Linked DNA regions of Elephas maximus indicus. The protein of the gene in region 1 interacts with the protein of each later gene in a pairwise test. Links are inferred from orthologs where the notes say so. Each region holds a gene or a part of one and is shown in the gene's direction. Other genes may lie near its edges.

What was found. The genes of interacting proteins can lie anywhere in the genome.
Region 2: the proteins of KLHL12 (region 1) and INMT interact in binary tests that used the Homo sapiens proteins (3 or more experiments, as listed by UniProt). The two-hybrid records come from large-scale screens. The link is inferred for Elephas maximus indicus from reciprocal best matches to the Homo sapiens genes KLHL12 and INMT.

Annotation. Positions count from the first base shown.
Region 1 is NC_064836.1:11,645,785-11,649,534, reverse strand, and holds the start of KLHL12 (kelch-like protein 12), read left to right. Parts: upstream 1-868; 5' UTR 869-1,027; intron 1,028-2,815; 5' UTR 2,816-2,860; coding exon 2,861-3,055; intron 3,056-3,750. UniProt on the Homo sapiens protein: Substrate-specific adapter of a BCR (BTB-CUL3-RBX1) E3 ubiquitin ligase complex that acts as a negative regulator of Wnt signaling pathway and ER-Golgi transport.
Region 2 is NC_064826.1:92,136,679-92,140,428, forward strand, and holds the start of INMT (indolethylamine N-methyltransferase), read left to right. Parts: upstream 1-988; coding exon 989-1,142; intron 1,143-2,876; coding exon 2,877-3,084; intron 3,085-3,750. UniProt on the Homo sapiens protein: Functions as a thioether S-methyltransferase and is active with a variety of thioethers and the corresponding selenium and tellurium compounds, including 3-methylthiopropionaldehyde, dimethyl selenide, dimethyl telluride, 2-methylthioethylamine, 2-methylthioethanol, methyl-n-propyl sulfide and diethyl sulfide.

The DNA of each region.
Region 1 (3,750 bases):
ACGGTTTAGCTTAACTAGTAAAAAAAAACGTCTGCTTTGAGCATTATGCTCTTTTAAGAACTATCTTTGTGGGAACAAATAGACAACAGTATCTTGAAAGATTAGATAGAAACTTGGGGGGGCACTGAGTTTATATTAATGAAGGAGGAATAACTCAGAAAAGGGGGCTGAGAATGGCTGTGCTACTGAAAGAATATCATCAATTTCAGTGAACCGTACATGTAGAAACTGTTAAGTTGGTCTATGTGTATGTTTGCAATCAAATTCTGAGCTTAAAAATCTTTGGAATCCTCTCAGTTGTCCTTGCCTGTGCACCTTAGGAAGAAGGGGCTCAGCCTCCGGCAATCACCAAAGTGAAAAGCTGTACATAACCCCCACCCCACTCCACACACACACCTGCCTGCCACACCCCGCCCACCCACCTTTCCCTTTTCGCCTTCACTACACGCACTGTAGTGTCGCTATGAGTCGGAATCAACTCCACCGCAATGGGTTCGGTTTTTTTTTTTTTTTTTTTAATGCACTAAAGTGAAGGAGCCCTCACAGCGGAATGGTTAAGCGCTTGGCTGCTAATCGAAAAAGCAGGAGGTTCAAACCCACCAGCAGAATCCACGGGGGAAAAAGGACCTAGCGATCTGCTCCTATAAAGATCATAGCCTAATAAACCCCATGTGGCAGTTCTACGCTATCCTATAGGGTCGCTATGAGTCCGAATCAGCTCCACAGCACCAAACAAGCAGAAGAACAAACGCACTGAAAGCGGACATCCAGGTAGACTCAGGTCACGTGATACCGCCTCCTCACGTGACGCAGCCCCGTGGGACGAGGCCGAGCCTTTAGCTGCATACGTCATCACTTAGCGCGGACCTGGTGACGAAAACAGCGACAATCACAGTGACGGCTCCAGGGCCTCCGGGTCGGGGCGGCGGCGGTTCGGCTTCACTTGAGCCGCCTGCTAGCCCCGCGCCCCACTCCACCCCACGGGCGGGGGACGGGCCGGAGCGATTGGGTGGGCCCGGGAGCGGAGGTGAGTTGCGCGGAGGGGGCGGCAGTCAGCCCTCTTCCTCCTACCCCTCAGCTCCGGGATTTGGCCCTTCCCCCGTCTGTCGTCTCCTTCCGAGGCGGAATGGGAGAGATGCCCTGGAGAGGAGGAAGACTGGGGGCTTCTGGCAGCGAGCTCGCTCCTCTCAACTCCGCCCTGAGCTGCGCCCCTTGGGTACCTCACCTGACGGTGCCGGCCTTATTCCTGATGCTGTCAGGGGAAGAGACCTCCTTTTCTTTTCTCCCACCTCGAATAGCCAGAACTTAGCCCCTCCCCGAATCTCCCGTGTTGGAACCTCTCTATTCAGATATTAACGGAAGTTCTAGAATAGGTCACCTCAGAAAGGTGAGGGTGAGGGATGTGGCTGAGACTTCCCCTGGTGATAACTTGAAGGACAGGAATCCCAAAGAGGGAAGGTCACGCTGCTTTAGGGTTATTGTCATTTTTACACTAAAACTATAAGCCCAGTCATAGACTAACCGCCCGCCCCACCATCTTCACAATAAAATCGGCATTTGTTCAGACCTTTTTTATATCCCCAGATTTGAAACTGAGTAAACGAAAATCCTTCTAAAAACATCGTTTGACGCATCACCTTCTTTTCTGTGAAATGGATCTTGCAGAGCTATTAGAGGGATTATCTAGTGTTGACAGAATTATATGCGAACTATAAACAGAAGTAGATGAGAATTTAGGAAAGTAGTGAGGAGCTCGTTTTTGCTCTGCAAAAGTTATGGTCGGGAGTTGTGGTGTCTGGAAGACAACTGATTGATTTCCCCACCCCCCACCCCCCGATCATTTCGGAAACTTACAGATTTCAAAAAAGATAAGCTGTCTTAGTCCATCCCACTTCATTACCTAGAAATTGCCCTAGAAGAAAAAAAAAGTGTGACTAAAACTTGTCAACAATCAAGAAAGTACTCCTTAAGCTGCATACAGTGAACTTTGCAAGTGATGAGCTATCCCAGTAAAGCTAGTGAGTTCTGATAGGTTTATAATTCTAATAAGGCTCTTTGGGTATAGAAGAATAAGTACACATACTGATTTTTTAATGTTGATGGACATTTACTAATAATATAGAGTAGGCAGACTCTTCTGTTGAACAGCTTCAACTGATTAATCAACTGAAAGCCCATAGGTAGCTTGCATGGTTTTCATTATGCAGTGTAGACATTGGATTCTCATTTGAGGTTTCATTATAAGAAACCCAGATATATTTGGAGGTCTTCATAAATAATTCTTTGCATACTCTTTAGAAAAAGTTCATTTTCACCATCTCTGGCCATTCTTGCTCTAAGTTGAACACAGTTTTTCTTGTATTCAATTAATGTTTATTGTGTACCTGCTAGGATAGCAGAACTATAAAACCGGATCCTCAGTCTCTAAAATCTTATCTACCTGTGGATATTGGTAGTTATCAGACCTTTAAGGAATTTTATCATTTGAGACAACGATTTTGTGAAAACCTGCAGGACATGTATAATATCTTTCTACTTACAATACAGTTTAGTATTAATTATAATAATGTCAAGTGGTAAGGGCACTCAATGATATTGGAATTCAGAGAAAGAAAAGATCATTTAATTGAAGTAGTAGCCGGATTGTGTTTTGGCAGTGATGCCAGGAGGAAGAGTGCTCTCTACTGGTGGAGGGTTCGGTTTCAGGAAACTTCCCCTTAGCTCCTTCATTTTTAAAGTTAATTGAATATGTTCGGTTTCCTTCAGTCTTTCAAATATGCTCTTTTTTTTCTCTCTCTGTCTGCCTCTGTTTTAGTTGTAGGATCCAAGGACGACTCTTGTTCTTTCTCCAAATTGCTTAATGGGAGGCATTATGGCCCCCAAAGACATAATGACAAATACTCATGCTAAATCCATCCTCAATTCAATGAACTCCCTCAGGAAAAGCAACACCCTCTGTGATGTGACATTGAGAGTAGAGCAAAAAGACTTCCCTGCCCATCGGATTGTGCTGGCTGCTTGTAGTGATTACTTCTGTGCCATGTTCACTAGTGAGGTAAGTAATAAGTTATCTCCTCACAAATGAGACACATGTAATCTTGTAGTTGTCTCTTTTTGCTGAATAATATAGAGGTTTGATATAATAGTGAATTCTCTATTGTGGTGGTTACATAAAAAGGCTCTGGAAAAGATCTGCCACTTAACCTGAGTGCTTTAGTTTCTTCATTTCTAAACTAGGGATAATAGTCATACATAGTAGCGTGGTTATTGTGAAGATCATATGAAATTACATGTAACATGATTAGAACAGTGTTTAGCATATAGGAAAAAACTCAAATGTCAGCTCTTGGGTTTTAACGTACTTTTTATAAAGTTGTTTCCCTGTTTTTCTCCTTCTAAACTTTAGTATTTTTAAGTCACTACCAAGGGGTAGCAACTCATAGCGCCCCTATAGGGAATTGACTCGACAGCAATGGGTTTGGCTTTTGGTTTGACCAAGGGGTAGGGAGAAGGGAAGGAAAGAAGAGGAGTGGGATTCAGTCCTCATCCCATTCCTCTTAACAGTATGTGAAGAAAATCAGTATTCATTCTACCAGTATAGATTTAGGGTAATTTCAAATGAGAGGAAGAAGATTTCATGAATGGTTATATAGGATTATGGAGTGTAACTGGAAAAAGATGCTGACTCTGGAGTGGACACAGTTAACAGAAGGAGTTAGGAAAAGGTCGTCTTGACAAGAAAAACGGCAG
Region 2 (3,750 bases), on another chromosome or scaffold:
GCAGACATATCCACAATTCACTTCCGTCAGTGTTAATGGGTGCATCTTCCAATTGTACCTCCATATCTGTGATGGTTAAGGTATGTATCAACTTGGCTAGGCCATGATTCTCAGTGGCTTGACAGCTATTATGTAATCATTCTCCATTTTGTGATCTGATGTGAAGAGCCGATCAGTTGAAAGCGAAGTTTCTTTGGGGTTGTGGCCTACATCCAATATATATGGATGTTCTTGCTCACTCTCTCTTGATCCTGCAACCGACTCGTCATCCTCTGACCTCTGGTTGTTGGAGACATCAGCCAGTAGCCTGCTGTCTGACCTGTGGATTATGGAATTCTCCAGCTTCTGCAACCCTGTGTGACAGCAGCCTGCCATCTGACTTGCCAATTTTGAGTTTGCCAGCCCCTGCAACCATATGAGTCAGGAGAAGCCTCCAGCCTGATGCCTGACTCATGGATTTGGGACTTGCCAGGTTACATAACTACATGAGCCATTTCCTTAAAATAAATCTCCCTCTGTACATATATATGCACTCTTTCTCCTTTCCCCTCTCTTTCTACATACATATATATAGACGTGACCTCGCTATGAACTCAGTTGTGATCTTAGCCCTCACAGCCAGTGAGGGGTACAAGCAGATGGGGAAACTGAGGCTTGACACCTGCCCAAGGTCATGTAGCAACAGCACATGGCTGGCAGAGTTGAGAGTGGGACCCAGGGCTGGGCACCATCAATTATCCTAAGGGATGTGGGTCTGTCCCTAGAAAAAGTAAAGCTAGGGCAGCTGTGGCCTTAGCTGTGATGGCTCTGGGTTTAGAGGAATTTCAGTTAATGTGTGTCTCTCCTACCCACTGCAGACGGGGTGGCTCAAGAAGAGGCTGGCCTGAGAGAAGCAAGGGGGTGGGCAGTGTTCCGGGGTGGAGCCTGGAGCATCCGGAGCCTTCATAAACCTGGGCAGGCGGGAGCAGTGCAAGCACAAGGGGCCACCATGGAGGGCAGCTTCACGGGAGAAGATGAGTACCAGAAGAATTTCCTGCCCAGGGAATACCTGGCCACCTACTGCAGCTTCAACAGTGGCCCAGCACCTGAGGCCGAGGTGCTCAAGTTTAACCTGGAGTGTCTCCACAAGACCTTTGGTCCTGGTGAGTGGAGGGGCGGTCCTTCTCCCTGGGTTTCTAGGGACAGGGAGAAGGAGTCCCAGGAGAGCAGCCTGGGTTGAAGCCTGGTTTTCTCTGGGGCTGCAGGGGCTGGGGAAGAGGGAGCTGGTCAGGCTCTTCCACTCTCTTTGGGCAAGTGTATGTGGGGTCTGTCTCCTCACAGCCCAGGAGCTGCATGCTCAAACAGAGCAGGGATAGGGGAATGCGTGGGACATGGGGGGGAAGGGGATGAGGGATGTGTGTGAGGGGAGAGTACTGCATCTTGCAGTTTCCAAAATGCCCCCCCACCCCCTGTTAGCTCCTAGGTCTTTGAGGTGGGACAGGGAAGGCTTTCCAGCTCACAAGTCCAGCCCTGCCCTTCCACAGCCAGGTCTCTGAGAACAGAGAAGGCCAAGGGCAGACAGCAGGATTGAGCAGGGTTAGAGTCACCCCACCCCGAGAGTGTGGAGCCCACATGCAGCTGTGGCAAGTATCTGGAAAAGTCAGAAGTGCTTTGCGGGGTCTCAGCACTGTCATGAACCTGTTGGTAAGGCCTTCAGCGTCCAAGGGCCTTGATTACACTACCTGTAAAATGGACACATAGTAGCCCCTGGCCTCCCAGTGAATTGCCCTCCCCCACCCCCACCATACATGGGGATTCAATCCTGGCCTCTGGGCTCATTTAGCCATACCTTCCTTCTGGGTACTTGATTGGGGACTGTGAGAGTGAATCTCCTGAGCCAGCTCTGGGCTGGGGGCAGGAAGGAGTGAAGAAGCTGCTGAGCCTGGTGGTGCAGACTAGTGCGGAGGCAGAAATCAGAGACCAGGCTGGTGGGCTCTGAGCCCAAGTGGAGCCATGTTTTCAAGCCCGGCTCCACGTGGAATGTTGGAAGTTACACTTCATTCCAGCTTCTTGGTGACCTTCAGCTCACCCCGGCTGCCTTTCTGGGTCATGTCCTTCTCAAAACCCTGGTTCCTGTTCTTGGCCAAGTTCCCCACCCCGCACCTCATCCAATGGAACACATCCAGGCCAGGCTGGACATCAGGGGAAGCTTCCTGCCAAACTTAGGGTCACTGTCCCCAGATGTCCTCTCTGTCTGCTTCAGCCAGAATCTTCTCCAGAGCAGGGCCTGGAGGGACTGTGGTAACGATCTTGGCTGAAAGTCATCAGGCTAACTGTTTAACTTTTCTCAGACTCAGTTTTTTAATCAGTAAAATGGAAATAAAAATAGCCGTCCCTACACAGGGCGATTCTGAGGTATAAATTGAAATAAATGAATATAAAATATATAGCACTGTGTTTGGCATGTAGAGTCCCGGGGTTAACACACTCAGCTGCTAACCAAAAGACGGGAAGTTTGAGCCTACCCAGAGGCCCCTTGGAATAAAGCCCTGGTGATCTATTTCTAAAAAATACATCCTTGAAAATCCTGTGGAACACAGTTCCACTCTGACGGACACAGGTTTGCCATGAGTGAGAGTCGACTCCATGGCAGGTGTTTTTTTTTTTTTTTTTTTCCGTTTGGCATGTAGGAAACCATCAATTCATGATCACTGTCATTATCGGGGCTGCTTTCCCCTTGAGCAGGACTAGGACCTACTCCTCCTTGCCCCGAAATCTGTCTTGGGCCCCATTTCTTTCACCTCCATCCCCCTTCCCCTAGCAGGGTCTAGCATTCAAAGACTACCTCAGCTCTCAGACTCTCAGACGAGTCTCAGCCATCTCGTCCCCTCCCTCAGGGGGCCTCAAAGGGGACACCCTGATCGACATCGGCACAGGCCCTACCATCTACCAATTGCTCGCCGCCTGTGAGTCCTTCCAAGACATCACCCTTTCAGACTTAACTGATCGCAACCGGGAGGAGCTAGAAAAGTGGCTGAAGAAGGAGCCAGGGGCCTATGACTGGTCCCCGGCTGTGAAATATGCTTGTGAGCTGGAGGGAGACAGGTAAGGGCTTGAAGGGTGAGTTGGTGGGGGGATCCCTCGGGAGCTGGACATCAACTCCCTTCTCAGAGGGCTCTCTGGCCTGTTACCTATGACACACTCAGGACAACAGCAGCTTTAGGAATGTGTATCTGATCCCAGGACTGTGTTGCATTGTTATACAGGCAGACTGACCACTGAAGACCAGATGGTGGGGCCTTTTCTTCCAGTCAGTCAGTTTCTGTCTGTCTCTATATCTATTTATGTGTCTGTCTCTATAGCCATCTATATGTCTGTCTGCCTGTCTATCTACCCATCCATCCATCATTCATCTATCTACTATCTATCATTTATCTACCCCATCTCCTTCAATTATCTTTATCTATTGTCACTGTATTGCATATAAGGACATGACCCCGCCATACAGTCTCAGTACTCACATGCTGGTAACGCCACGCACGTGTGTCTTCCCTGGCCCTTGCCTCCTGCCTTCCCCCACCAGAGGTCATCACTGATCTGAACTTTATAATTCCCTTGCTTTTTAAAAATGATTTTAAAAAGTATTTATGTACATCTAGACAACCTGTTTTTTTTTTTAGATTTATTCACTTTTGTACTTTATAGCAGACTAATTTGCCCTGTTATCTTCTATAATGCACTTGTTACCATTCGGCATTATATTTTTAAGAT